Lepisosteus oculatus: one gene and its partner. The protein of the gene in region 1 purifies or fractionates together with the protein of each later gene. This does not show direct contact. Links are inferred from orthologs where the notes say so. Each region holds a gene or a part of one and is shown on either strand. Other genes may lie near its edges.

Region 1 (15,378 bases):
TAAGGACAAACACTTTTCACTATACTATGCACCTGTGTAAGTATAATGACACATAAAGTTGAATTGAAAAAAACAGACCACAGAGATTCCAACACATATATTCACACTAGTTCAAGCAGGTAGCTGGGCTACAAAGGAGCAAGTACAGGTTTATTCCATGCTGGAAAGAGAAGAAAAGAAACACAACATTTCACAACAATATTGTCTGTGATATTGCATTTCCTCCACAACCTTCAAAAACAGTTCAGAAAAAGCATTTTGATTATATTTTACTGAGTTACTGATTTCGTAAAGGAAACCCAGTCTTCTTAAATCTTGAACCTTTCAGCTATCACAGCTCTTGTACAGGGCTAGTAACAGGACTGCTCTCGATCCCCAGTGACACTGGGCTCTAAGCCAGCAAGCAGCTATTAACCTTGAAACCTGGGATCCGCCAGGGCTCTTAAAGACTGTGATGAAACCTTAGTAATGTTGTAATCACTATCACTGCAGACTTTAATTTCATTATCTGTTTGAATTAAAGCACACAAGAAAACACATGAGAGAGGCGCCTTTTCAGTGCTCCTAGCCTGTTATGTAGATAGCAACTGACTGATCTGGGAGTCTCATCCAGCTGTTTTGTGAAGGAACAGGATATCAGCTGCAATAACATGGCTGGGCAGCTTGTTCCACACTCCCACCACCCTTTGTGTAAAAATCTCAAAATATTAGTTCAATATGCACTGTCCCCCAATGAGACATAAACCAGTATGTCCCTTCTTTGGGCCCTGGTTCATGTCACATTAATGGTTCCAAAGATGTCCACTGGGTTTGCTTTTTTCCCTGGAGGATTCTGAACTGAAGTTAAAGTATTTTCTGTTCAAAACTTAAAAAAATCCAATTCCTTTAGCCTGTGAGTGTGGACCATTCCCCTAAACACAGGACTCTTCCCTAGACTCGTTCCAAGAAGCAATACCTTTCGTGAAAGACGGTGACCAAATGCGTACAATATTTGTATACAGTTTTTCATTCGACATGAAACCGTGCAAGAAACCGATGCAAAGAAACAGGTAAAGGTTTATGCCATGCTGAAAGGAAAACGAAAGAGACACAATGTTTCGGCTACGGAGCTTTTTCCACGAGTGGGCCGTTTCTTCTCAGCACGGAATAAACCTCTTAACTGTTCCTCAGCATTTCTTAAAAGGGAGTCACCGGCCAATCAGAACGTTTTGAAAACCTGCTCTAAAATAGTAAATGTGTTGTTCCCCCACTGCCACCTAGTGGTTTTTAAGTCGCTGTTGAAAGTGCACCAAAACGGTCGATAACGCTCGATAACTCGAGGTGAAAGAATCGACCTTTCTCAGACTGAAATCCGATTCAGTTTCTTGTTGCCCTGTAATGTATTCGTGTTAAATGTTACAGCCCATTATTATTGTTGTTATTGTTGTTGTTAATATCTGTTGTATATTTAGTCCCAAGGTATAAATATGTTTTTGCTGTTTATATTTATGTGGAAAAACAACTCAAACTTTGAATTTGAAATATCGTACTATTCCATTATTTGCCCGTCGCCACATATGTATCACGGCACGGACAGGTTAGAAACTTAATTTCACTTTTCGAACAAAAGTGAAAAATGACCATCGGAGATCTTCTATTAATAAAATGATATAACGTTTACTGTGCTGCCAGTTTTCCATTCTTACTAAAGTCGAAAGAAGCATATTACTATCTTATCAATAAGAAAACTTCATCTCATGAACTGTTCCAACTGCACGATTATTAGGTGCAACACAACTCCAGTTCTCTCTTCTTTTCAATTACTTTAGAGTTCATAAAACTTTGGGTTCGAAAGAACAATTAAACCTACGGACGCAGGCCTGCTGCTACGAGTAACTTGAGAAATACACACGGTCTACCATAATGATGGAGCAGTATGCACAGCATATAGAATTAAACTTGTATTTTCCCTGATTGATTTCTGCACGCAACCTGTCAAAACCTATGCGCTAAAAACAACTGTGTCTGCAACCTAACTTCACAGCCAGCCGGGGGCGCATGCGCTCTCCCGTGTCCTCGTGGCGTGTAGCGTAGCGCGTAGGGTGACGTAGGCGCCAGTATAAGTACCGAGCGTGAGCGTTGCGAGGTTCCTTCATGCGCCAGCAGGGAGGTTGGACGGTGGCTGTTGTTGTATAAAGGTTAGAGAAGGGCGCTTTCTTTCGTCAGAAGAGGAAGACGAAGCATTTCGAAGACATGCCCCGTGTGTATATTGGCCGGCTGAGCTACCATGTCCGTGAGAAGGACATCCAGAGGTTCTTTAGCGGCTACGGGAAGCTGTTGGAGATCGACCTGAAGAACGGGTAAGGGAGAGGTGGGGGTAGGGTGCGTGCGCCGACTGTTGATGCGTAGTTTGTGTTTACTGCGCTGTGGAAAAACGAGCGCCGTTTCACGGCTGGACCGGATTATGAGGCTTCGCAGTGTGGGAATCCCGTACTGCGAATTCGTTGCTTAGCTACCGTAAGAGGAAAAAAACAGCCGCCCGGTGAGAGATTGCCGCGTGGACAAAATGGCGGCCGCGCTGGAGACAAGGACCGTGAGGGGCTGGAGGGACGCGGCTCTCGGCGGGAGCCAAGCGCGAGTGCTCGCAGGCCCGCGCCTTCCCCGAGCCTGGACACGCCGCGCCGGGAGGAGGCGACCCGGCCACGCGTGACGCGCTGCTGGTCCGCAGGCCCGGCGTTTTCGGAGAGTGCGGACAAAGAGCGGGCAAGGGAGGATGTAGGCCGCGGAGGGGGCGCGGGCAGCCCGCGGCAGGCCCGTCCTGACTGGTATTACGGCAGAGGATCGATGCGTTCAAATGGAAGTTGCATCGCTGCGGGCGCAAGTCCTTTGTTTAAACGTGAAGAGGAGCACAGGTTTGGGCCAGGGCACGTTTGCTCTAACGCCAATCGTGTTTTGGTTAAGTTTGGGGGTGGCTGTGGTCTGGTGGGGGGGGGGGTGTGTGTGAGATTCTGCTCATGTTAACGCGCATCACGATGTGGAGGGAGGTCATGTTGATTTCGTGTTCACCTCCGCGCCGTGCATTGATCCGACAAACGTGACGCGTTTCCACCCCCTGCAGATACGGCTTCGTGGAGTTCGAGGACACCCGCGACGCGGACGACGCCGTGTACGAGCTGAACGGGAAGGAGCTGTGCGGGGAGCGGGTGATCGTGGAGCACGCCCGAGGACCACGAAGGGACAGAGATGGATACGGTGGGGGTTATGGCGGACGCAGTAAGTGCCGTCTACTGCCAAATCAAATAATCTGAGCATCTTTGACTTTTTGCAGATTCCTGGATATGTGCTGCCAGTTTACATTAAGCTATCTTACACACGTTGCTTGAGCAGTGGGCTAGGGAAACTGAATTTCATGCTTTGACCGTGTATTGCTTTGTAACATCTGAATGCTAGATTTGTTTTGGGAAGCTAAAAGTATCCTCTGACTTTTGCCAAGCTTTTCAGATTGCAATACACCAAATGAGTTTAACTGCAAATTCCTGTGTAGTTTTGTGGATTTCGTGTGTTGAAGAGGGTGACTTCTTAAATGACGTTTGCATTATTCAAACCAACAAGTTTTAATCCCATTCTAGGGTAATACTGGAGGGGTTACAGGCTCAAGAAGGGGTACCTGCGTTGTGAGGGAGGACTTGAACATGTTGCTGCACTGCCGTCTGAAGTTCACTTCAGCTGGATAGGCATGCGTTGGTCAAGTGGCATAGGTCCTGTGTAGGGACCTCTCTTTCCAGGATGTCGGAAGCCATGGAAGGGTTTGCAGTCCTGCAGTGGAAGGCCCCTCAAGCTAAAGCTCAGATTGTTTAATAGTGGGGGGAGAAGTATGTTAGGATAGGTCTATTTATATGGCAGCTGTGTGTTAATTTGGCCTTATTTAGGTGGTTTAGAGTAGTGGAGGATAGCTGCCTTTGTGTGTTGTGGACTTATTGTTTCAGGGCATTTGTATATGCAGCTCAGTGGGGATTGGGCTAGGTAGCAAAGTGAAGCTTAACCCAGAATTCCTAATTTTTCGTAGCAAAGTGTGAAGGAGTGCAAAGCCCAGCTGCCATGTAAATAACCTAAAAATGTGTTGCATTGTTTACTATTGAATTCAACATTAACAAAGTCCTTGATGTTTCAATTTGAAAGAGTCCAGTGCGGGCTGAGGCTGAGTCCGAGTCCATTGAGGCTAAGATGACTGCCTGTCCCGTTTGGCCTTGGCTTTCACCTTACAATGTGTGTGTGACCTTTGCCCTTTGACCCTTTGGCTGACCTAACCGGAAGCCATGATGACAGCAGCCTTTTGCCAATAGACCAGGGTGATGGTGAGGAATCCCATTGGTTTTTATGTTCAAACAAATAGTGGAGCGGTTAAAGCCAACGCAAGATGTTACCGCCATCTGTTATCCTGCTTTGTAAAAGAGCAGTTGGCTTCAGTTGCTGTGAGTCTGATTGGCTCAACCTTAGTATGGCAGTGGTTAAGCTTTATAATCATTGCCAGTAGTCTCACCTTGTTGTTAAGACATCCTGACAGCAAGCGAGTGGGTTAATGCCTACCTGTAAAATGCATTCGTGGTTTGGAGAGCCGAGTAACCTGAGTAAGTGACTTAAATCCTGTGATATTATCTTTTTGTGGGTTCATTACCCAGTGAATGGCAATGAACTGGTTGCATAAGTCCTTTAAGCTTTTGGCACCGTTTTAAGTGCATTACTGTTCTTTGGCCGGTGCACAGAGAACAGCAATGTAAACACTTCCTAGTATTTGTACAGTAACATTTGTACAGTACACAGGTTGGCATTTGACTGAAGATATAGAAAGCCACACCTGCCAAGGCTGCCTGAACACCATTTTCTTGTCCCAGAGTTAAGATGGAACAGGTTGTTTCTGTGGGTATTATCTGTGCATGAGAAAGCGGAGTCCACAGGAACTATTTTGGTGGACTAGAGCCAAAAATCTTTATCATGCGTAGTTGATATCCCGCTAGTGGCTGTTTTTTCCCCTTTAACTCCCTATGGAGAAGTTGCCAGCTCTCCATGATGCACTGCTGACTTTGTCTTCCCCTGTTGTTTGAAGGTAGTAGTGGTTACAGCAGAAGCCGCTCCGGCAGAGACAAGTATGGGCCTCCTGTCCGCACTGAGTACCGCTTGATTGTGGAGAACCTTTCCAGTCGCTGCAGCTGGCAAGACCTTAAGGTGAGTTCAGGGTCTTTTACCGGCTGGTTAGGGGGTCGAAGCCATAGTGTTCGTTGTAGCTCCCCTTGCAGTGGCTTGCTCACAGTCTTGACAGGTTAATGTTGTGGTTTAACATTTTAGTAACAGTAATAGAATAAACATACCCCTGTTTAAATAAAGGTAATTTTGCTACTGTGGTGGTGGAGCTTTTGTTGGATTTCCTAGTTTAGTCTGGTTTGATAGAAAGAGGCCATTGAAACGTGCCTTCATTATTTAATGGTTCTGTGTAGTTGTGTTTTCAGATCACCAAGACGCTTGTCCCTCATGCTCTTCGCAGGATTTCATGCGGCAGGCTGGAGAGGTGACGTATGCAGACGCCCATAAGGAGCGCACCAACGAGGGCGTGATCGAGTTCCGCTCCTACTCCGATATGAGAAGGGCTCTGGAGAAGCTGGACGGCACGGACATCAACGGAAGGAAGATCCGCCTGGTGGAGGACAGGCCAAGGCGCCGGCGTTCCTATTCTGGCAGCCGGTCCAGGTGCGGTATATTCAGTGTGGTGGTTCTGGACGGTTCCTCCGATGGCCGCGGTGTGCAGTCGGTGGCGGTCCAGTTAATGTCTGTCTTGGGTGCCCTTGTTTCTTACCCAGAGTTCCTACCCGGTTATCAGGCGTTGAGCATTAAGTTGCTCAGACATGCAGTAGTTAACCATACCTTTTGACTGGAAAGGCCTGCTTTGTGCCCGTTCACCTGCTGTGTCCGTGTGTTGTAATGGTGCCTCTCCTGGCGGTGTCCTCTCGCGGCTGCAGTTGATGAATGCTTGTTCTCATGGTTGTTGACCGCCACACCCTTCTGTCTGGGCAGGTCCCGCAGTCGGCGCCGGTCCCGCAGCAGGAGCCGCAGGAGCAGCCGCTCGCGCAGCAACTCCAGGTCCCGCTCCCGGTAAAGTAGCCTCCCTTCTAGATTCGCGCACCCTTCAGAGCATGGCTCCTCCGAGCACTCGACACGCCGCACCCCTCTCACCTCGGGCTCGTCTCCCTTGTAGGTCCCGCTCCAGGAGCAAGCGGCGGTCCCGCTCCAGGTCGGCGCGCAAGTCCCGCTCCAAGTCCCCGGCGCACAAGTCCCGCTCCCGCTCCCGCACCAGGAAGTCCCGGTCCCGGTCCCGCACGAGGAAGTCCCGCAGCCGCTCGGCCAGCAGGAAGTCGCGCTCCCGGTCCGCCACCCGCAAGTCGCGCTCCAAGAGCCGCTCCAAGGCCAAGTCCGACCGCGACTCCCGCAGCCGCTCCAAGGAGAAGTCCGTGGGCAAGAAGTCGCGCAGCCGCTCCCCCTCCCCCGTGGAGAACGGCAAGGGGGAGCGGGCCAAGTCGGCCTCCCCCTCCCCCTCCCCCCAAGCAGACAGCCGCCGCTCCAAGTCTCCGTCCAAGCGCTCCCCCTCCCGGTCCCCGTCGCGCTCCAAGTCCCGCTCCCGGTCCGGCTCGCGGGACTAGCGGCCCGGTCGCGGGGGCGGCCGCGCCATTTCGGAGGAGGGGGTGATTTTGTAATTGGTTTAAGCTGATCAAACGCAGCTCTGAGCGCTGAAGATTTGGTCGGTGGTCTTAATTTTTTTTTTTCTCCTTCATGTGCTTGAGATAATAGCTGCAGTTTCTAATGATAACTCAGATTTTTGTACGTTTGGCCTGAGACCATATGTGAGCCAGGATATGGGGTGCCAAGAGTTGAATACCTGATGAACTCTTTGATTTGTTTAATATTTTTCTAGGAGACATCGGTGTCACAGTCATAGTTTTGTGTATGCCTGGCTTGCTTGACCTTTTTTTTATTTCACTTTTTGATCGCCCCTGCAGTCCTGGTTTGAGTCAGTATTGGGTGTCCCTGTGCATCCACAACACCTAGGTTGTATCTGCATTTTAAAAGGCAATTTTTGCTTCCCCCCAAAAGTTCAGAATATCCTGTGGCTTGTTTTACCGCAGTGATTTTGATTTCTTTTGAGTCCCTTGCCTTGGTATAATGTTGACAATTTGGCTCCACCTTTGTTGCCACAGCAGTCAAATTGACATGTTCAAACATTTGGATCTTTTGAGACCAGCTTTGGAAAATTGGCCAGTGGTAAGGACTTTACCTGGATGTGTATTTCATGATGAGTTGCACTTTTTATTGCTAAAGTGTAATCCATAAATAAGCATGTGAACTTTTTACTGTACAGTTATTAAAGGTTCTTATGGAAAAATGTGAAGTTTGTTTTCTTTTTAGGTGTTCAACTGCTGAGAAACAGGGTAGTTAATGACTGTGGCTCGTTTTGTGTAAGGGAACTGGGTGCTGTGAAATTGCTTCATGGTATAGTGCCTGCAACACCTCTGAGCCCAGATAAAAAGTGGGGGGTCTGTGTGCAGATTTGCCCTAGGTCAATAAACCACCAGTTTTCATTAAAACTGTGGAAACTGAAGTTGCTTGTGCTAATTGGCTCTTGAATTTAAGAGTAAACATCAAGGGCACCTCATGTTGCGCGCAATTCAGACATTGTGGCCTCCGTGGGTTTAGGAATCGGTCAACTCCACACCAAAGCAATGAAGCGGAGTGTTGCAGACAGAGCTGGAGAAACAAGCTGGAAGCGTTATTTTGCGGCGGGGGCTGCGTCTGTAGTCTCCCTTAAGAGGTGCATGTGAGAAGACGGTGTTGCGATGTATGCAGGAAAGGCCGGGCTTGTACTTCAAGCGGCCCCTGCCTGTTCATCTCGATCAGCCGGACGCTGTGGGGAAACCCAGGAGGGCGAGAAGAGATGAGTGAAGACGTCGCGGGAATACGGGAGAAAAAAACCCGCTCTTAGGGGCTGTGATTGTGCCAACAAAAACATTTCCAATAAAGTGCGGAGTTTGACGGACAGTTGTCGAGTGTGAATTAAAACGCATACCCAGCGCGGTGAGTGTTAGCGGCGCGGCTGGGCTGTGAAGCCGCTGCAGTCCTGTGTGCATGCCCGGTGCGCGGCTCGCGCATGCGCAGTGCTGCGCCCGGAGCCGCAAGGAGAACCAACCGCTGGTAAGACCGATCGGTTCATTCACACACATTGTGCCGATTTATTATTTCTACATCTCGAAACGGAATAATAGCATGGGGTGTTCTAGATTAACTGTAGTCATAAGCATTATCTTAAGGTGTTGAGAAGGTTCTTAGTTTTCTTACATTTCATTAAGCATGTTTCATTTTTAATGTATAGTCATCTTATTATAATAAACCCATATTGATTAAGCTGTGGTTTTTTTGACAACCTCAGTTGTGGTATTTGGGGTAGTTTTCGGTTTCTCTTTTGTCTAGTAAATCTAGGGGGGAAATGGGGTTCCACTCTGCTGTTGCATAACGTTAAATTAAATATTGTCAGCAGTAGATGAAACATTCAACGCCTTGCACTTTGATGAAAAGCTGCATGTCGAATCCTACATCGCACAAGATTCTTGAAAGAGTTAAATCATGCCGCCATTTTGCTATAAATTGCTAGGGTTTCACATTTTAATAATGGTCCTGTAATTGGGGGAAGAAAGCAGACGGCTACTCTCTATGACAAACTGGTTTCTTTGTGAAATAAGGGACTGAGATGAAGGAGCTCACAGTCGCAGACGAGGTCGGTGCTGTGGACTAAGTGTAAAAAAATGGTTGTATTGTTTTTAATACTGCTTTCAAGGTTCAGCGCTCCTGGTGTCTAGCGTACTGCAGGTACCCTGGCGCAAAGACGGTATATAGTATATACTATTTAACAGTGCTGGAGAAACAGCTCTGCGCCTCTAAATATTTCGCCCCGTAACGTGTAGCCAGTGTTTTGCCTCACATGGTTCAGAAAGATGTTACGGATAAATCTTTGTCAGGACCGAATGCAAACCGCCACCGGTACCGGTAATGGTAATATGTTTATGAAATAGAAAAGCCCACGAGTTTCCGCAGTACTTCACGCCGTCTGGGTAATAATGTCAGGGGGAGAGACCGCCGCCTCTCCGCTAGAGGTTTTGAACGTGAAAGATGCGTTTGATCTAAATGGCGTTTCAGGTTGCAGCACATACAACTTCCAAAATCAGATCACAGCTGACTGCATTCCTGTGTCTAGCAGTGTAATTCGCTCAAACAATCGCTTTATGAACGCTACGATTAAACGATCCGGGGAATGCCAAGTGTGTTGCTCTCCGGGTTACTTGTAACTAGCCGAAGAGATAACAAAGGAGGCCATTCGACTCGGCTAGTCTGTAGTGTAGTTAGTAGTTAATTGATCCCAGGGTCTCCCCCGTTTCTTTATAGAAAGCAGGGTATCAGCTTTGACAATATGGGTGGGAAGCTTGTTCCAGACTCCCACAGCCCTTTGTGTAAAGTAGTGCATCTTGTTCTCAGATTTAACTGCACTTCCCTGTAGCAGAAGTAGAGTCCCCTGTTAAAGACATCCCAGACTACGTGCATTTGGGTACCTGAATGAAATCTTATCTGATTTATAATAAAATAAGAATACTTCTGTATATAATAGGGTAAATTCTCCATTCACTGCATGAAACCTGTGGAAAGAAAGTTACGTCACTCAAGAAACTGTTGGGAATATTGTAATTTCTTTCAAAATCTGCAACATCTGTTGCCTAATTTATGAGGCTTTTCTAATGATGAGGCGCTGGTTTGGGTGAAATCAGTCTGGATCGTCATCACAAGGGCTACCCGGGTGTCTCTGGGACACCGCTGTAGGCACTGACCCATACCTGCCTCTCATCACAGCCAGACGGTGGCACCAGTCCCCGAGGAGATGAGCAGGAAAGTGGGTCTTGAGGTGCTGGTGGTGGGCGGAGACAACCCCTCCACTGAAGGCAACGCCCCCCTCCCGGCCAATGAGATCTCAGTGCAGAAGACACGCCCCCAGGCCCAGACCACTGCTTTCATTTTGCCAGGTGAGGTCACTCCCAGCGGCACAGTCCTGTGCAGCACAGGGGCTGGTGCAGTATTAATGCTCTGCAGCTTATTCGTTGCAAGACATAAGAACTAAGTGATCCCTGACTTCCCTTTGCATCCATCACAGCCCAAGCAAAGAAAATATCAGCTCTGAGATGCCGTAAGGACAGCAGAAAATTATCTGATTTCTTCCAATTATATCCATGAAAACTATGGAAATGTTGACCTAGAGGTCACACTAGCCCAGGATGTCTGCATCGCAATAGCAACATTGTCAAATGACAGCAAAATAGACTTTAATTTTAAAAAAAAATAGTGAGCTTTGCTTTGTACTCTGTATTCTTGAAAAACCCATGGATTCGGAAAAAAACTTGCTGATCGCTCCTGAACTGTCTTTATGCAAACACTGTGTGCTGTGTGACGGAGACGTTGATTGAAAAGCTCTGCTCTTTGTCACAGGAGATCTTTGTTGCTTATTTTGGTTGCTTATAGGCGTACTGATCTGAGGATGGTGGGTACATCTAAGTTAGCCACATAGTTCTTCTGGAATCACAGCATAAATTTCTTTAAATTTGTAAAAGCTGCAAAAATAGAATATGTCAAATTTGCCCAGTTAAGCAAGTACTGTGTTAGCTTGGTTACATACTTGCTTAAGTATGAAGTTATAAACTCGGTGAACATACTGAGATCAGAAAGGTAGTGCTCTGTTTCATGTATTTATGCCGCTGTTCATCTTCACACAATTGTGATGTGATTCTTCTGTTCCGTTGTGGCCTTTTCTTGACTAGATCTCTCTTGTGCTTCTGACACACAGTGCCCCAGGAATGGCTCTCGAAGTTTCAAGCACAGCCATTCACACACAAGGCTCTCATTACACTGCTAATGCGACGCACATTTCCTGGGCACTAACGAGCCCACAGTCAAAATGCAGGAGAATGAAAGCTGGATTTATAAGCTCGATTAATAATAAGATAAGATCACTTTATTGGCCATATACAATTTCTTGCATTAGGAATTCATCTTTTTGCAGACTCCAGCTTGCTCTCCATGAGACACACAGACAGGGAGAGAAGCTTGGGGTCAGAGCGCAGTGTCAGCCATTGTACAGCACCCCTGGAGTAGTTGGGGTGAAGGGCCTTGCTCAGGTGCCCAACAGAGTAGGATTCCTCTGCCAGCCACAGGATTTGAACCAGCAACCATCCAGCCACAGGTGCAGATCCATAGCCACAGAGCCACTGCTCCACCTGATGACAAGCAGGTTGAGACCGATCAGCCACTATAGACTCAGATCCTTAGATGCTGACTTTATCCTTTTCGCTAAGCGGTATTTAGTCATTGTGTTATTAGCGATTTAAGATTCTGCACTAATAGCTTGATGAAATGTCCAGAAAGCTCATGAAGTCTCACGACAGCATCACAAATGTCTTCCTTAGTTTCTCCAGGTTTTTCAGAGAAATTAAGCTTAACATTGGTTTCTGGACTTGTTTACTAAAGTGTCAGCACTCGAGTTGCATGGCATTCTGAACCATGTGATATTATTTCTGATTTATTTCATTTTGTAGTGATTCATTTATTTGACTGCGGTGACTCACATTTGCATAACTGGGTGTTTCACTGAATTAATTTAGGTGATGTAGCCTTCTCAAGTGTAGAACAGCAGCGTTTCCTGTGGAATTTGAACCCGGAGCCATGTAGGTCCAAATTCAACACCCCTAACCACTGCACCACACTGCTGTATCAGAGGCAGGACATTTCAACACAGTGATAACATCTGTGAACAGAGGAATAGGAATGAACAGACCTCTGCTATTGACCTCTACTGCCTGTGGATGGTTGAAAAGCAAAACCAGTTTTATTTCATCACACCCTTCAGTAATGGCATTAAACGCAAAACTCCATTAAGAGAACTTAGAAACATAGGCCCGGAGAGACAGCTGTCTTGACTAGTCCCTTTCGCACCACACGCAAACTGGAAGTAGCCAGTGTGTGAGTCAGTAACAGGTTTGAAATATTGTTGTATCGGCCATTCAGAAACATTCATGATGGACAAAGAAAAGGCCACAGGTTCTTTCATTTATATGAGCAGTGGCTCATTTATAGACAGGGACTGATAGGAAACTTAATTTGTAGTTATGGGTTGCACTGATCAGCAGAATTCTTCAGAAAACAGGAAGAAACCTTAATCGGGCTTTCAGAATCTGTTGCTAATCAGAGTTAGTAGCTTGAAAAATGAAGGTTCTGTTTCTGAAAACCGATTGGGGGCTGTTTGTCCGTTGAGGGCAGGAGTCAGTTCGGCGCGCGTGGGTGAAAGGCTCCAGCGTGCCCTGTGTTGGAGGGCACGCGGCCCCCCCAGCCCAGTGCTCCTCCAGCCTGCTGTCTCTTTCCCAGCCCCCAGCTCCACTCTCGTGGGCGTGCGCAATGGGGAGGGGCCCAGGGGCCACATGGAGCCCCTGAAGGGGGGCGGGGCTGGAGAGCCGGTGACCTCCGCGCTGACCCCGCAGGTGGGCGGAGCCTGCAGCGTGGTCCACGTGCTGGAGTGGAAGGAAGGCGTGGCCGTGCTCCCTGGCACCAACCTCAAGGTATTCTGGGACTTCCCGCCTTGTCGTCTCCTGGGTCGCCGCACTCCTTGGATCTCCTCTGTTGCCAGTTAGCTCTCGGCCAAAATGGTGGCCTCTTGCAATGTGTAATCTGGGAAATATTTGTGGATTTGAGCTTTTGAAATTGGAATGTCAGGTGTTTGATATGAGGATGGAGCTGCATCCCCTGTTGTGATTGATGTGCTCATACCTCATACCTTTACTTCTCCGTTGGAAACTTCTAATTGGAAAGACAGAACATGTGACTGACTGTAACACGGGGTTTATCAGCCCTAATTCTGGTGAGCCCTGTGTCTGCAGGTTTTCATTGCAGTTGAGCTCTTGATGACTTAATCAAACCCTTAATTGAGAAAATATTTCGATTAGTGAATGATAGGGATTACTTTGTGTTTCCTAATCTTAAATTGCTTTTTAAGAACTATTGTATTCTTTCTTATGAAGAATAATAGCAATCAACTGGTTTTAGCAGAAAAAGAAAATTACGAGCAAACATCTAATTAGGTTTCAGTGAAGGTTTCAGTTAAGTAAATGAGAGCTCAGTTGGATTGAAAACCAGGCACTGGCCTCACAAGGACCAGATTGGGAAGATATACTGTAATGCCTCAGGTATGGTATTGTCTGCTTCTTTAATTCGTCCTAAGGGACGTATGGTGGTTAGCGCTACTGCCTCACAGCACTCTGGTCCTGGGTTTGATTCTGGACTGGAGTACCTTAAATGTGGAGTTTGGATGTTCTCTCTTTGTTTGCCTCCAGTGCTGTGCTCCGGTTTTTCTCACCTCTCAAAATCTGGAGGGTAGGACTGATTGGCTGCCCTAAATTGTCCTCCAGGTTTTGATCCACAGTTCCTCTAGCTGACTTAAATCCTGTATACTTAGCCTAAGCAGGTTATATTGGTAAAATAGCTGTAATAGCTGTTGATTTGTGGAACTAAACCAGAGGTGCAGAATGAGTGAATGTCTAGTTAAATGTCCCAGATTTCAGAACATTGACCCTTGAAATCATCATGTCTTGCAGAAACACTGGTGGTGAACGCTTGATGTTCAGAGCTTGTGCTCCTTTTCAGTTTTAAGGTCCTTTCTTGGAAACGTTCTTAGCTGCGTTCACTTTTCATTTTTTCATTTCCTCCATTTCTCTTGAAGATGCTCAGTGAGTGGTTCTACTTCCCAGTCGGTCTATTAATAGGTGTCCTGGAATATTTTCATCGCGTACTTACACGTGTACTGAAAAGGGGGTGGTGTGTCCCGCAGTTCCGGATGAATGACTTTGGCACGCTGGAAGTCGTCAGTGACAGGAAGGTGCCATTCGTTGATCCCAGTGCAGAAGGGGCTGCTGGGAAGGAGATGGAGACAGACGGGAAGTCAGCCCTTAAACCAGGTGAAGGGAGCAGGTTTCTGTGCAGACTCCTCTATTGACAAAAAGAAGACATTGCAGTATTTCTTTTTATATTTTTCTGCTGCTGACCCATTCAGGTTGGTGCAGGTCAAAAAGCTTGTTTTGAACACTTTATCCTCTTGTTGCGTAAAACACAAATATAATTGAAATATTAACTTGTATTTATTGGTAGAGAATCAGATGGAATTATCCCAATAACTTTGCCGTGTATGACTGTAATTTGTAAATAACTCCTGGTGATAGGTAACATTTGAAGTGAAACGTGTCCTGAGGTGCCTGACGGTTTCCCCCCTGTTCTCCAGATGGTATCTCCCACAGTCCTGCCACTGGCTGTCCACAGGAACCGGAACAGACCATTAAAGAGGAGCCGCTGCCGGAAGGGGGCTCTGGGAGCTATGAAGGCCGCAGCCCAGCAGCAGAAAGGGGCTTCACAGAGCAGCTGCGCAGGGAGCCAATCACAGACAAGTAAGAGCCTGAGAGCAGACGGACAGCCTGCGAGACAGGCAGGATTGTGTTAGAATGACCTTTCATACAGCTGACATTGCACTGGTGTCAATTCACCGTGACAGCTAAAGCTAAACAAGCTTACCCCCTGTTCAAAACATTCTTTGAGAGAAAGATTTGCAGCCGTGTTATAATGGGCATTTAGTTGCTCCTGTGTTGACCTTTTAAGAAAATAAGAAAGATTACAAAAAGGAGGAAGCCATCTGTCCTTCCTAGGCCATTTGGTAGCTAATTAATCTGAGGATCTGATCCAGCTGTTTATTGAAAGAAGCCAAGATATCGGCTTCCACATCATGGCTGGGTAGCTTGTTTCATACACCTACAACCCTTTATGGAAAAACGCAGCTCCTGTTTGACATGGATTTCCATGTAGGACATTCCTTCATGTCTAGAAAGATACCTGGATGGTCTCCTCTGAACAGATTCCACAAAAACCTTCACCTTTTTTTTAGTTCTAACTGTTCACTGAACAGGCACGTGCTACATCAGCCCTGACCGTCCCTGTAGTGCCCACACAGTGCCTCTTGTGATAGACTGCTCCACGACAGGCAGGACATCCATAGAGAAACCTGTGTCTTCTCTCAGGCCTGCAGATGTTGAGAAGGCCACGGGAATGCAGCTGGATGCTTTGAACCCTGAGCTGCTGAAACCAGTGAAGAAGAGGAAGAGGAAGGATTATATGAGCCCTTCTGAAGAAGAGTCTGAGATGGAGGCTATGGTAAGGAAGAGAGGTCTGATTTGGTCTGACATTACCCCGAGTCCCAGTACTGCTCTTGAGTTGTGTATTGTAAGGTTA
Region 2 (15,369 bases), on another chromosome or scaffold:
TGGCCTTTGGACATTTGAACTAATTCATCCAGCTGGGCATTTTAGTGGAATGATATGGTACAATTGTTGCTCTTGGGTATAACAGCAGTGTCTCACCTGGGATTTGAACCCACAACCTTTCAGCTACAGGTTCGGAACCATGAGCAGTGCTCCACACTCCCATCCTAAGCCTAGTCCTTCAAGAAATAGTTATACACTTGTGCATAGGAGCACATTATCTAAAAACAAAACACTGTATCAGAAGAATTAAATAAATAGCAGCTGTTTACTGTATCATTTAACAAACACTGAAGCCGTATGTGCTGCAGAGTTTAAAGCATTGTAAAGACATTATCCATGCTAATGCTTTCAGAGCATCATTAGATTCCAAAGCTGATGCCAAGACCCAAGAGAAGACGTGGAATTATAATGGGAGCAAAAGCCCGGCATGCATATCTCCTGAGACTACAGGTCATCAGAGTCAATGAAATTATATAATTTCTTCTGGGATGCTAATAAAATTGTATTTTGCATTTCCTTCAATACTAACAAGATAAATAGGGCATTTAAGAGGTATTATTAAATTCTTAAAGGATTCGCTGGCCGTCTAGAGCTTGTTAACATCTTTGGCCACATCTGTTGAGATGTGTCAGGATGAAAAAACTATATTATAAAAGAGAGACGCTGCCCCAAACAGGCTAGATTCCTGAACCACATGACATCCTGCGACATCCTTTATAAATGCGTGCTTTGACCTTCAAACATTGGAGTAAGATGGAAGAGTCTTGAGAAACTTTCAATACGAGGAGTTCCTGTCGATACAAGGAGTTCGATTTCGTCCCAAATATAAAAATATTATGAAGAGTTTTGAAACATATGAGGACTTATGAGGAAAGGGAAGGTCTTGTCTAGCTTACTAGAATTGGACAGGAATTTGGCAAATGATATTTTAAATTAGTAAATGCAAAGCAATCCACATAGAAACATGCATTCTACATATCACATGGATGATTCTGAGTAACAGAAATCTATGGATGAGGGGGTCTGGATAATGTTAAAGCCATATCAATACCATAATGGATAATATTCATCTATCACCTCATTAAGAGGATGTCCGTCCATCCATCCCTTTTCTAACTACGTTATCCAATACAGGGATCACAAAGGATTCAGTCCATCATGGGGTGCACAGTCACACTCACACCAGGGCCAATTTTCCCAGAAGGCAATTACCCTACCGGTATTTGGATTGTGGGAGGAAACCACTGCACCTGCAGGAAACCCACATGAACATACAAACTCCACGCACACAGCACTCCGGGAATTGCACCCAGGGCCCTAGCATTGCAAAGCTATCTACAGCGCCACTGAGCCATCCGTGAAGAGAATGGGGTCGAAGCAATAGGAAAGCAAAACTTTGAATTTAAAAACAGTGAAAGTTATGATCATGCTTTACAGTACACCAGTGAGGCCTTAATTAGAATAGTGTGTTCAGATTTGGTCACCAGACTGTTAAAAAAACAGTCTGTTTAGAGCATCAGAAGAAGTTTAAAGAAAAACAGCAAAAATTATTCCAAGTCTCAGTGGACTTTCATATACATTTAAATCTTTTCACTGATCATGGAAGATTTAAATTAGATTGAAAGAGACTATTTCACACTCAGTAGAGAAGAGGCATACGGGCCAGGTGGTTAGTGTCAAGGTCTGATGTCCTTCAAGAAACAGTTAGATGAAGTTCTAGATTCACGTGGTCACTAAACTACCCAATAAGCAAACCAAATAAAAGGCCTTCTTCTTGTCTGCAGTCTCTGCAATGTTGCAAGCAACAGTCATTCCATTTCCACCTGAGGCAATGGTGGATATTTCAGTTTGTAGATGTTGCTGTATTCTTTGTATTTTAGGTACCCACAAAAGTCCAACTATGTCCAAAGCATCTGATGAATTTTCTGAAAGCACTTGTCCATTGAAACGTGACTTCAAAGACTTACTCATGAGTGGGGAAGAAAGGCTCCTGGAATTTACTGCCCAGCAGTCTCAACTCTGCATTTACCAGTGCAGCTCTGTGAATATGATAAAGCAAATAATAGGATAAATGTTCTGTTGTGGATTCTGTAACAATAGCTCAGTGTTGTGTAAGAGTCACTTAGTATGAAGGTTCTTCGCCGCAGTAGATACTGATGCACAGGTCACTGTTTGTACTTTGTATAACTGCACCAATTAAAAGTAGCTGATAACATTGTTTTTTATTTTAATTGAATGAAAGGTCTTAACTGACATTTGGGAGGAATAACAATAGACAAGCCAGTCTCATCGAGCTGATCCCAATCATTACCGACTTTTCACTATACACAGAAAATAACCCTTGCGCACACCTCTTCTTGCATTTTTGTCAGATTCATTCTATATGTGGACTGTGCTTCAGCCAACAAGCAGGAAAATAACAATAAGACAGAACAAAAGAAAACATATGCTACTTGTCTTACATTTGGCTCATACGTTATTCATCTCTACACGGTCCGTGCTCCTCAGAAGTTCAAGCCACAAGCCTTCTTCCTTCGTGTTCTTTAATTTAATCTTGAGCCGCTCCTCTGCACTTTCTTTTGTTTCTATTCTCTGGTATTCAGCTTGGCTTTGGTTATCTCCTTCCCAGCCCCTCCTGCCCTTGATGCCATCTCCTTGGGCCCTGGCCTGTAAGATGTCCTACCTGTGGCTCAGCCAGCAGGCGTCCTACAGTTTATACAATCCCTGGTGTCCCACTCTGGCCTCAGGCAGCCCCCTCTCAGCCCCTGCTGCTCAGGCCCAGGGTCTGTCCAGCGTCCTACCTCTGGCTCCTTCAACAGGCATCCCAGATGTTTTAATGGCTGCCTTCTCTTTTAATGTAAACTCTGTACCGCCATGTTCCTTCTGTCTGTTTTGGGGATCGCTTGATTCTTTTGGGGTTTGAGTGACCCCCGGGTTTCTCCCTCGTGGCCCCTGCTCCTCTTGATACCATCTCCCTCCAGCTCAACCGGCAGGCATCCGACAGCTTTCAACGTCCATCTTTTCTTTTTAATGTTTGCATTTCCTATTTTACTGCGCCTGGCTGTTCCTTCTGTCTCTTCTTCTCCATTGGTGGTTTTGGGGTCCACTAGTTTGGCTTTTGGGGGATCAAGCCTCCTCTGGGTAAAGCCAAAAATCTATGACACTTAAATATTCAATACACATTCACAAAGCACCTTGGATGACATTATTCCTCATGAAATGGAAGTTCTTAGCAGCAGTTCGTGAGGGATAACGACAGACAATCCCAATCTCACCCAGTGGAATTATCGACTTATTATATAAATTCCTCTCTCACGTGGCGCTTCTCGCATTTTGGTGCATTCATCCCACCCCAACCACATTTCCACCTTTGCTACTGCCCCTTAATTAACTCCCCTCTCTGAATGGGGTGGAGGTGGGGGGGTTAGTCTCCTTGTCCTTTGGCCAGGATGCTACCTCTTAACCAAGTTGGTTAAGCCAAAACTTATTATACTTAATTACTCAATACATATTTCCAAAGAATCTGATTCTTGGATGTTTGGTTAGTACAGAACTCTCCAAAGCACTTCACAAATAGGAAAAGACACTTTATCCATCCATATTTATTTTTTTTTCTTCTTGGTAAGCAGCACAGTTTAAGAAAATATGACTTTAATATTTGTCCCAGAAGCTGTGTGTTCTAAGTTGTTGGTGTTATCTTGTCCTGATTTGTCCTGGACTGAGAAGACCCAATAAACGTGCAAATAGGCACGTATAGTGTTGCCACAGCCTACATTTGCAGCACAGAAAACATGAAGTAATAATGGAATAAAAGGGAGTATTAAAAACAAACTGCTGAAGTGCCTGACAGATGTGCAAGGTGGAATTGTATTATAGAAAAATAATAAGACCAAATAAGCGTTCTGAAATCTGACTTTTATTTCATTGTGGTCTACCTTGGGATTCTCACGAATATTGGAAGACTGCACAGCCTCGTTGACGGTACGAAGCTGAAACCCCCCTGTCCTTATTCCATTTCCATTGATCCAGCACGTTTATACCCGTGGACTCCTGATTTCTATTGCCTTGTGAAATCAAAGATAGATATAAATGCATAAACACATGTCGGTATACACAAAAATGATTATATTCAAGATAAACCCTCCAGTATCAAAACGCCGCAATACGAATCTGCTATCAAAGGTTTTTGTTTTATTAAAGGTCATTGAAAGCTGTAGAAGCCAAAATACACACCGCAGATATGCCTGGAAAAATCCCTTGTTCTGAGTTATTAAATCCTCATAAATATTCATGAAAATATACTCCAACGAAAGGTATTAATGCATCTAGGGCACGTAAAATAAAATACAGTTATATGGCACCAAAGACTTTTACGATGTTATCTTCACAGGCTACACCTTTGCTAAGAGTACAGGTAGAGGATATGATTTGCCTTGCATATTATGTGGAAGCAAACCTGCAGGTTGCAAATACTAGCTTCTGCTTTGGGATTTCAAACGTTACAAGGAAACCAGATTAAATCACTTTCCAACTGCAATAAAACAGCCCCCCGAAAGTCCAACCCCTTCCTGGCAGGGACTCGGGGGATCTGAATTTTGAAGGTTACGGAAAGCATTTAGACATGGGCGATCACGTTCCAGGTTTTTTTTTTTATTTCAGATGACATTTTCTTGCCCTGTTGCCGTTTTCTTCTCGGCCTCTTGTTGGGTTTGGCTACGATTATCTGACAGAGGCATTTATTATTGGGCTTCCTATAACCAGCTGGAAAGCCTTAACGCAAATGCTGCATGTTCCGTACGGCTTGGTGTAATTAATCGGCAAGAACTGTATATAGACTGTATACATGATTCCACCTCAATCTGTCATGTGCTTACCTCTTTCAGTTTTGAATGCGCTATTTTTTTCTATATCCTGAAACCTAATTAACAGATTTCGTGCAGCCGGGTAACAGTATCAAATCATTATTGTCGGTTAAGAACGGAGTCGCTGGCGTGATGAATATCATCTTATTTGACGTTAATGAGACATCTTAATTTTCACATGTCACTGATATTTTCCGTTGCTTTTGACTGACCATATTGGAAGAAGACTGTGCGCTGGGTTAACTAAACTTTAATTCACTTTGTGTCCTTCTCTAAAACCAACGTCTCAAGAGCGGAGGAGAGTGGCGGTCTGTGTGACTCTGGATTCAGAGAATCATTTTTCATGTCCGTTGCTAAAGGCCATCAGTAATGAAGTCAGATAAAGAAGAGAAGTTCTGAATTTCCAATCGACGACACAGCCCAGCAAAAAGGAAACGAGCATTTTATATAATATAACCAGTGCAAATTTAGAACTAGAACAATGTAGTCCTTTAACATACCGGTATGCTTGCTTTCACACTTAATTATTCTAGACCAAGGGATTATACATTAACGATGCGTGCAAAATGTAGAATTAGTGATAGCTTACCCCTCGCCTTCCGTTTCAGTATTTTGCATTTGCAAAATTTGTATGTACAACGGTACCTATTATTTTTTCTCGGAGGTATTCCATGTATGGCTCCTTCATCCAACGTTTCACAAAACGTGCGTAGTTTTTTTTACCTGATTTATCTTAACAACATACTTTCACCAGCGTGTAAAGAACCGTTCTGTTGATTCCTGGGACTTTTTCTTAAGGTTAGACTTCACAGAACTAACTCGCGTTAGTGCAAAAAACACTCCTCATTTTCCTTTCCAAACTGAGTCTACCACTTAAATTCCCTCAAGCATGTTTCGGCTATTTTTGAGCGAAAAACAAAATATTTCAGCATTTTACAATTAGCTTTGTGAGCCCCCTTGCTTGCAGCAAAATAAGAGAAAGTGTAAAACTTTAGTGTAGTGAAAACTAGAAACATTTTCGATTCCTCAAAGTCTTAATTTTTGAATAAATTGTAATGCTTTTAGATATTACATATTTACATATTTAGCACACAAATCTGTTCATTATTTGAACATGGGGGAGACATTTATTATTGTCATATCACTGTTAGGGTTGTAAATATTAAAAAGTGCTTCCAAACTTATTTCTTGTCTTTCCTGAAATGCACTTGATCTGACTGCCAAAATTTAAAAACAAGAGAACTATCGTCCTCAATCTATATGTTTGTTTTGGCTGACTTCAATTACGTTGGGCAGTGTAGCATAGTGGGTCTTTGGACCCCTGACTGCCAGGTTGTGGTATCGAGTCCTGGTGCTGGTGTACCTTGAATGAGGCACCGTACCCCAGTTGTTCCTGGCCACCCAGCTGTTCGGGGGAGACCAACATTGCTAAGGAGAGGTCCCTGCAGTGGACTGGTGTTTGTCACCTGCTCTCAGTCATCGATGAGCTCTGGGACCAATGAGCTGCTGTGTCTGAGGTTCAGACATCACAGCCCCTCTCCCCCACACCACCATGACATTAGCAAGGCTTGGCGGTGAGAGCAGGGAGGTTGCTGGTTTAGACTCTCAACCAGAGCTGTAGACGACCCATTATCAGATTTAATATGTGTCTGACTCACCACAGTTCATCCAACACGGTCGTGACAGTGATGACTTGTTTAATGAGCTCTGGAAAACAGGGACCAGATTTTCCCTCATGTCAGCAGTGTCAGAACCCTGCAGTGGTGGGACCTTTTGGTGAGTTAAAACAAACAGCGTGGGATAGGAAACACATAAATTGACTCATTACCTTTGTAATTCAGGATAATTATTTTCCTTAAACAGTGGTGGTATGGCATTACAAATACAGTTGCTATTAGTTGATACAGGCCAATATAAAACTTTTCACTCATGCTAATTTTAACAGTGTCTGCCATTCCTGACTGAAAGTTCTGGTTCTAACTGCAAGGCAATCCAGACCAGAACCAGTATTCTTCTTCCACCCTAATCATGGGGTCTTCCTCCAGCTTTCCGACCCTAAAGTGACATTCGCCTTCCTCCCTAGATGGCAGCAAGGAGCTGAGAAACACGTCAAATGTCAAGATGCTTTATTATTGCACATACGTCTTTTAATGAACACATTATTGCTCATTATTCCACATACGTCTTTTAAATGCAACGACATTTGGGTTGCTATAGAGTAAATTCTGCAATCTTTACACAGCAACTTGAAATTGTTCTCTTGTGATGAATATTCCAAGTCTACGTAGAGAGATTCAAAGGTAACAATTAGATGATTCATCTTTATTACAACATACAAACACAAAAATCTTAAACAAGGTACAAACACATTCTGTACAGGGGAGGGTGAAGATCCATTTGGTGTGCATAAATACCCCTTTTCTTTTTAAACGTTTCACGGCAATAAAACATGACAATATTCCACTTACTAAATTGTTCAAAACACATGTCTTTACAGATTGATTCTTTTTAAGGGTGACAAAGAACAGGAATGTTTAATCCTGGTCATGAAGGTCCATATTGATTTTTTGTTCCAACCAAGCTCTCAGTTACACAATTGATATCATAATGGCATTCATTTGAGCTATTTGACTGGTTTCAGACTGGTTCCAACATGATATGCTTCTGCATATCATGTTGGAACTGCTTTTTAACTATTCATATGTAGAATATGGATTCATATGAATCCATACTATTCATATGGATTTCATATGTAGCAGTACTAATTGATTGCATGAGTATAACACATGGCTATGGTCCAATCGAGCAATTTGTTAGTTCAACATAGTCTTCAGTTAAGTAATTAAGCTTGGCAGGGACCAGCAGGAGAGTGTGCCTTCAGGATAGGGCTTAAGACCTTCCCTCTCTCTCCCTCCTCTTTCAAGGACTGAAGCAGGGTTGTCCTCAATAGCACTGATGACTTTAAATTCTCATGTGCAACAGTGTGCTCATGTGGATTAGCTTGGCAATTCTATCCATCTAGCAACTGCATACTGCATGTGGTACGTTATATAATTACTTCATGCGTTTTAAGCTTGCATTCCGTCTTATCGAAAACAAGGTTTTCCATCTCTACTGTGTCAGTGCCTTGATTCATTGATACATAAACAAGTCTTGCAAGAAAATAATTATCTAGTCTATTGTTGGCAAAGAAATAAATATGGCCAATTAAAATTTGTATTAGGAAGCGATACAGTAATTACTACAAGTACAACAATGCAGATAAACTGTATTTGTACTACATGTATGTGCTTTTGAATCTAACAACCCTAATAATAAGTTTACCATGGCAATGTCTGCCAAAGTTGCTTTAGACAAAAACATGTGACACATTATTTAACTGAAAAGTGAGTGAATGCTGAGGATGTGAATAATACTGAGGCAAATAATAGTTCATATACTAAGGAACACTTTCCACTTCCGAACTAGCTGTAAGTTAAATCACTAGTTTATCACTGTATTTGCTCTGACAATCCTCACAGGACATTTATTGACCAGTAAGTTGCGCTTTGTTTAATTGGGAAGTCATTGTCGAGAAGGGATATTTCGAATGATGTTGATGCTTTCTCACGAGATCGATATCCCTTATTGCATGGTTTGTAAAGCTGTGGTGTTTTTGGATTCCACAGTTAAGCGGGTTTCTTATGAAAGTCTCTAGAAACGCCGCAAAACTATGAAATATTGCAAGCAAAGTCAAACATATATCATCTCCAATTACGCTTCTCAGACAGACAAACCCATCCCTGCATGAAATTACTTCCCTGTGTTGTCTACATACTGTAGGAGGAATATTCGGCTCGGCTGACGCCCGTCCGCGCTGTTGATTTTTCTGTGCCTTCTGATTGGTCAGAGCGATATGGCGGAGGCTCACGGGATATCAAGATGGCCGCGTCCATTTGAATCCCTGTGTTGTTATTCTTAGTTTTTTACGTCTGGTCTTTTTTCCCCACGGAATTCAGTGTTTGTTTTGTTTCAGTTTGTCAAAAACTGTCATCCTCTTATATTGAACGTAAATACATCAAGGGACTCCGAGATCCGGCGGTAGACGATTCGTTACTAACAGGTTTGTCCGTATCCCTTGTTTATTTCCTGGCACAGTTTAATAGCTATCCAACGTTCAGCTGTTTCCGAGAATGACGTTTTGCCCTCAACATTAAGGCAAAGTGCGTGCTTTTCTTGTTTTGCTTAAACTAGTCTTGCTTAATTAACACTGCTTAGATTGTGAATCTAGATGAAATGTTGACTAGTAACGTGCTACGACATGCCCACGTGTTCCCGTGTTCTAAAATATTGCTGCTGTCACTTATCCGTAGCCCTCGTTTATTATCTTTCTTCCACTATCTGGCTCCTAAAATATGTAGTCTGGGAAGTTGCTGGAATAGTAGGATGGAACAACACATGCATCCAGCCGCTGTTACTGCGGGTCACTTCTACATCACTGCGCTGACCATGTTGTTGTTGATATCATTGTTTATGCCTTTCACAATTTTGAGCAGTGCGCTATACTCAGAGTGCTTCACTCTTTTTTAATTAAGAAATCGGACAACAAACTCCTAGAAATCGCTCGTTTGCTTTAACCAAATGTAGAAAGCATTGATTGTTTTTCTGGAAAGCTCTTCCAAGATAGACATGACCTCAGTAAGTTCATCCCTACCCCAGGTTCTCTCTGACGGAAAGGAGGAGTTGCTTTTTCTTGTCAGCTGTTTAAAGTGCAGAGTGTTTTCTCACTTTGTAAAACCTAACTCTTAAACAGAACAGTATGGGCCACAAACATGAACAAACACCTACAAATAAAACGCTATAAGCAAATTACATCTTTTGTCAGATTATGTTGTTTTTGCTTTCTGCTCATTTTCCAGTTCCTGCAGCTTTTTTGGGGTAATTTTCTTTCAGATATGTTTTATATCCTGGGGGGTGGGGGAAACGGCTGGCTTTTATCCAGATCATGTTTACCTGTTGGCTTCCCCTGCAGAAATAATGCTGATATCTGGAACTCATGTCGAACGTCTATGAAGAGAGAGCCACAATGATAGCCGCAGGTGAATTGCAGGAGTTTGTTCCGTTCGGTCGCGAGCACTGTAAGAATCACCCCAACGCCGTGAACCTGCAGCTGCGACAGCTTCAGCCGGCCTCCGAGCTGTGGTGCTCCGATGGGGCAGCCGGGCTGGTGGGGTCTCTTCGGGAGGTAACGCTGCAGGAAAAGGAGAGGGTAATGTCTCGAATTTCCTTTTACTCGCCCCCTTTCGGATTTATTTCTGTCCTGCTGCATTTTGTGTGTTCTCTCATTTTCAACTCTTTTTTTTCCCCCACTCCCTGATTCTGTTCCCCACATTGCTTTGCTGGAAGTTTATTTCCAGGTATCCCCTGTCGATTTCAGGTGATGCATGTGGGTGTTTCTCTAACATTGTCGTGAAAAGCCATTTTGGTCAGGTTCTTACTTTTGGCTTGATAACGAGCATTTAATTGTGGCAGCTTGTGCTGCGTCATGGCATGTTAACTGTAACACTTGATTTATTCAGATGGATACAATATGCTTTATTGATAACATAAACATCCCAGGACAAAAGACTCTAATTGAGCTACATTATATCAATAATCAGTATCACTAATACTAGTAAGATGGTGTGGAGGAAGAGATGCCTGTTAAAATTAAACTTGCAAACTTTCATGGCTCAAATACAGCTGTGGTGGATTTAGTCAAAGTTTTCATCGTTATGGGTGTATTTTGTGAAATTGTTGGCGGTTCCTGGAATGCCAGTCATCATCATACCTGTGAAGAATGGGCTATGGATCATTCCCTTTCTGTTGTGCTCAGGAGAGCTGGCAGCTGAGGAAGGGAGCTGGTGGAGAGGTCCATGGGGTGGAGTTTGAAGAGGAGCTGTATGCGGCTGGGAACATGGTGATATGGAGCCGGGGGAGCAAGAATCAGGCTTCGTATGTATACAAGGCTTTCACCGTGGACAGTCCTGTCCTACAGGTACACATGACAAAGGAAATCCACTCCCTCCTATTGTTCTTAAGCCTCTACTTTACTCCCGTGGGTAAAGAAAATCAAATACATCATTCAGCCCCAGAATAGAGTTTTTCTCCTGTTTTTCGTGCAGTCTCATTAAGTCATTATTTTCAAACTGCTCTCGGTGATCCTTTTGTGACATGGCTAAAGCTCTTTGAACTGGTTATGAAAGTGTATTATGTTTGTGCTTATCGAGGTACATGGAATTTGAAATTGTTTAATGGTTTATTTCAGGCCTTGTGGTGTAATTTTGGTGTACCCGAGGAAGATAGAGAAGGTAATTTTGCTTTTTTTTTTCATTTATAGTTTAGACATTAAAACCCTGGGTCTTTACGTCGGTGTATCAGCTTTCATTGTGTTTGTTGGTTGTAAACATGCAGCACAGTATCAGGCTTCAGATATGACTGCGGATTAATATCCCAGATGAGCAGATGAAATCCTTTGTTTAATTATAAGGGTATGACATGTATGAAATATTAATCTGTGTCATCCAGGCATCTAGGCTTATGCAGCTCAGCCTATTGAAAAGGTTGCCTTTTGTGGCAGCCGAAAAGATTTGGTAGGTGCAATGAAGAATCGGACAAAATCGCACTCCTGGCCAAGAGACTAGATGATGCATAAATAAATTTTGCTTTCAGAACAAGAAGTCGTGGAGCAAACTGTTTGCGTTGTTCAGAGGACGTGTGTGAATGTTCACAGTATTACTGGGAAAGACTTCATCTCCCCTTTGCCCTTCCAGGTGAGTCACAGTTCTTTGGCAAAAGGATATCTGTTTTTTACATTTTTTATAGATTTCTTCTGATCTGTGCTTAGAGCAACAGGTGCATTTATTGTGAAATCATATGAACCATTATTATTGCAGAGAGGCCACTCAACTAATTGTGTGGCTGATTCAGGTAATTTTGTGCACCTGCATTAATTTAGGTTTTCCACAGCGGAGTATTTGAATTATCATACAATCAAGCAGGGTGAACTGGGCGAGAGCTGGGACAGCTGTGGTCTGAGGCCAGGATAGACTGCTTTAGCTATTCCGTTTCACTCCATTGCAGTGTTTTCTATAACTCTTTCTCAATAATTATAGGGATCTTTGGCACTAGGGTGAATTAAGTAATTCAGGATTAACTATTGTTCCTGAAATGGCCTGGAATGGAAAATCCCAAGTTGCATATGCCTCGTGTAGGAGATCGGTATCGCGTGCTGGCGTAATCACCGAGATGTTCTGTTGTGCAGCATTTGATCATTTACAATAGTTGGAGCTCCAAAACCTTTATTGATCTATTAATTTAATTGATTGGACATTTTTAGTTCCACAAACGGTTGATTTCAAGTTAACTTGCATGTCTGAAATCTCGAGCTCTTTAGGAACTGCTGAAAATACTAGATTTATAGTTGAACAGATTATGAGGCAAATTATGGTTGTTGCTTGCGTGGGGCACTGAATAAGTGTGCCTGCGAAAAGAGCATCCAAAAGGACTTCTGAAAACTGAGCAAGGAAAAAATATGGAAAACTACATGCATGATGCCATGAGTATATTCTTCTCCTGTAAACTGTTAGACTTTTGCAGAAGTTGCTACCACTTAGAATCAGACGTGAGAAATTAAATGAATGGAAAAAGGTGGTGATCTAATCTATTTGCAACCCAGTTGGAAACGAATACAAAAAGCGTCTCAGTCAGTCTGTAATATTGTTGTAATGCAGGTGCTGAAACTTGAGAATGAATTGTGCAGAAAGTAAATGAAACTAAGAGCTTGGAGTTTCACCTCCATCTTGCAGAATGTGCTGAACCTCAGTCTCTGTGATCTCAGACTTTTTCCTATCATACCAGAAACTGTCTTACTGTATAAAAAATCCCTTAACATTTACATAAGGATTCCCTTTCTTCTGCTAGTTGTGAACACAACACTAGTCATTCAGTGAAGTATTGTAAATGGCAGTGAAAAAATGAATGAAACGTGCATCCTCAGTGTCAGGATGTTCACACACTCTTGCACCACAAAGGTGCATTGATCACTTCTTTAATACACTTGTTTAATACAGTATATGATCCGTCTTTCACAACCGTGATAGAATCAATATCAGTTTATTTTTAGTACACACAAAATAAAATTTCCCTCCAAAACAGCCCATGATCAGTGTGGTGTTTATTTCATTGTTGACTGTTACGTAAAGTTAAGCACGATTAATTTACACACCGCCTTGTAGTGTTTTGTCAGAGATTACTGATCTATGACAAAATTGCTAAATCAGTTAGATCAGACCACAGGCACTATGAGTGATGCTCCCTTAACAAATCCTAATACACTAAAATAGATGACAAATATGGCACACAAGCAGAATAATATTGTGTTAGGCTTAGCCATCCTGTATGTACTGAGTGCCCAGGGGGATTACACTTCAGTCCTAAGGGGGGCTGGATGGTCTTCCAGTTTTGGTTCCAAATTAAGGTCTCAGTGAGCTGGATTCGTTTTAATTATTAGCTCAGCTGGATATATTTAAAAAGGATGAAGAGATTTCAATTTTATTGTTTAGTCATCTGAGCTTGATTTCATTTACAACACAACAAAATCATTTTGAGCAAACAATATTGGACAGGAAAGTGTAAAATCTGTTTAACAAATAAAATAATTAGAACATTTAGGCCTCCAATTCAGCCCTGCCTTGTATCAAAACTTGGTATCTAATAGGGCCCAGAGAGTCCTTTTAAATCTGTAACTAAAGATGTGAAAGCGTTGACTAGTTAAGGAGGTTACCTGAGTTTATTTACTTGCTAGAAAGGAAAATGGTCTCTGCGAAAATGATTTTCTTGAGGAAAGTCTCTATTTTTTACACCTTCTTATTGAATTACAGTTACTGCTCACTCCAGTGAAAACCTGCCATGCATGTTTTCTTTTGCTGCAGAAAGAGCTTGTGCCCACAGGTTTGCATTCGTGTCAGCTGATCTTTAAAGACAATGCACAGCCCTACTGCACTGGACTCCTTATTGATATACCTGGCCCAACCCATTAGAAACACAGCTGGTGGTGGTGTGAAGCTGAAGAATCTTGACAAGATGCTGTTTATTCCTCAGATCTCTATAACCTGACATGATGAGAATTTTCCTTTGACCTAAAATTGAAAATATTGAGATCCTCCATCAGTCACCCAGTCAGTGTTTTGTTAACTCGGATGGGTTTTTCCTGTTGTGCCAATTGCTTGCCTCCTAATTTTGTGACTTTAGTGCTGAAGATTCTGTCAGAACCCCCCATTCTGACAGATCCTGAGGCAGCTGTGCATGACGTCACATCCGGCCTGTTTCATGTTTGGTGTTCTTTGGAGCATCTGCAGTTCCTTTGTTTCGCCTATCCATTACTTTGGTAGAGGTTGATCTTTGTCTCAACTGGACTTAGAATGTTTGCTCTAAAACTCTACTGGCTCATCTTTGCACATCTGAACATCAGCATGGCCTTGGCATGCAGGGCCAGCTCTGCAACTCTCTCACTTCTCATTGCCTATAATGGAGCCATTGATGGTGGCGGCAGAAAAGCAGTGAATCAGTAGATGAGTCATCTTGAGACGTGAATTCAACACGGAGTGATTTTGACAAGCTGCAAGTTAAGACACCCCAAGAATAGGCAGGCGATTGCACACAGTGCGTGTTGAGCTCATTAATTTGCAGACTTCATGCATCGTTGTTACCTCTTGTTATAACCTCTACGAGAGATGTAACCTAATATATGAAATTGGCATAACTGAATGTGTCCCAGTACGTATGGTCACTTCAAATGTATGCTTGAAATTACCCGAAAATGAAGCACATTACCTTTTACTTATTCAAATTAATCTATTTACCCCATAATTGCAAATTCAAATTGCTTGACTGGAAATCAGTTTTTACAGTATTGTACCAATAATTTTGGAAGACACTATATAATATTAAGATTATGTTTATATGATGTTGGAGTGTTCAAATCCGAAACACTTCAGTATTTAGAAAACTTGTGGCATCATCTCATGTTTGACCCTGGATAGCATTTAGAGTGATTGTATTAGGGCTTCAACATTTTTTTCTAATCACAATCCACATAGATCAAGCTGAAAAACAGTGGGGATATTTTTCTGTTTTTCTCTAAGGTATCAGCTGTGTGGCCGACCAAGTTTGGCTTGCTGTTTGAACGTAAAAATCCTACTTCTGATTTCCCACAGAGTCCTCCAAGGTAATAATATTTACTTTAAGTTGTGCATTTTCATTTTACTCTTGGATGCAATAGGTTTTCGCAATAAATGACTGCTATAGGTTGACCTCTATGAAAGGTAGAATATTCCTTTATGTCCATCTCTTATTCCCCCTTACTTTAAATTGATAATTGATATTCGCATCTGTGTTTCTAATCAGGACAAAATAATTATCCTCCTTATTAGTATTAGATGAAGCAGCTCACATTATCCTGCTATTTAGTCATTAAGATTTTGATCTT

Evidence for each region.
Region 2: the proteins of l3mbtl1 (region 1) and anapc1 purify together in Homo sapiens (affinity purification with mass spectrometry; 4 studies listed by BioGRID and IntAct, counting the BioPlex papers as one, with this or other methods). This does not show direct contact. The link is inferred for Lepisosteus oculatus from reciprocal best matches to the Homo sapiens genes L3MBTL1 and ANAPC1.

Annotation. Positions count from the first base shown.
Region 1 is NC_090711.1:14,080,665-14,096,042, forward strand, and holds the start of l3mbtl1 (lethal(3)malignant brain tumor-like protein 1), read left to right. Parts: upstream 1-7,507; 5' UTR 7,508-8,170; coding exon 8,171-8,214; intron 8,215-8,592; exon of another isoform or gene 8,593-8,794; intron 8,795-9,918; coding exon 9,919-10,088; intron 10,089-12,477; coding exon 12,478-12,668; intron 12,669-13,933; coding exon 13,934-14,060; intron 14,061-14,380; coding exon 14,381-14,543; intron 14,544-15,167; coding exon 15,168-15,300; intron 15,301-15,378. Other genes in the region: serine/arginine-rich splicing factor 6, read left to right, coding at 2,233-2,339, 3,098-3,252, 5,084-5,202, 5,519-5,721, 6,046-6,123, 6,227-6,668. UniProt on the Homo sapiens protein: Polycomb group (PcG) protein that specifically recognizes and binds mono- and dimethyllysine residues on target proteins, thereby acting as a 'reader' of a network of post-translational modifications.
Region 2 is NC_090712.1:2,589,414-2,604,782, forward strand, and holds the start of anapc1 (anaphase-promoting complex subunit 1), read left to right. Parts: upstream 1-8,727; 5' UTR 8,728-8,964; intron 8,965-9,873; 5' UTR 9,874-9,897; coding exon 9,898-10,110; intron 10,111-10,716; coding exon 10,717-10,878; intron 10,879-11,148; coding exon 11,149-11,191; intron 11,192-11,552; coding exon 11,553-11,653; intron 11,654-15,025; coding exon 15,026-15,108; intron 15,109-15,369. UniProt on the Homo sapiens protein: Component of the anaphase promoting complex/cyclosome (APC/C), a cell cycle-regulated E3 ubiquitin ligase that controls progression through mitosis and the G1 phase of the cell cycle.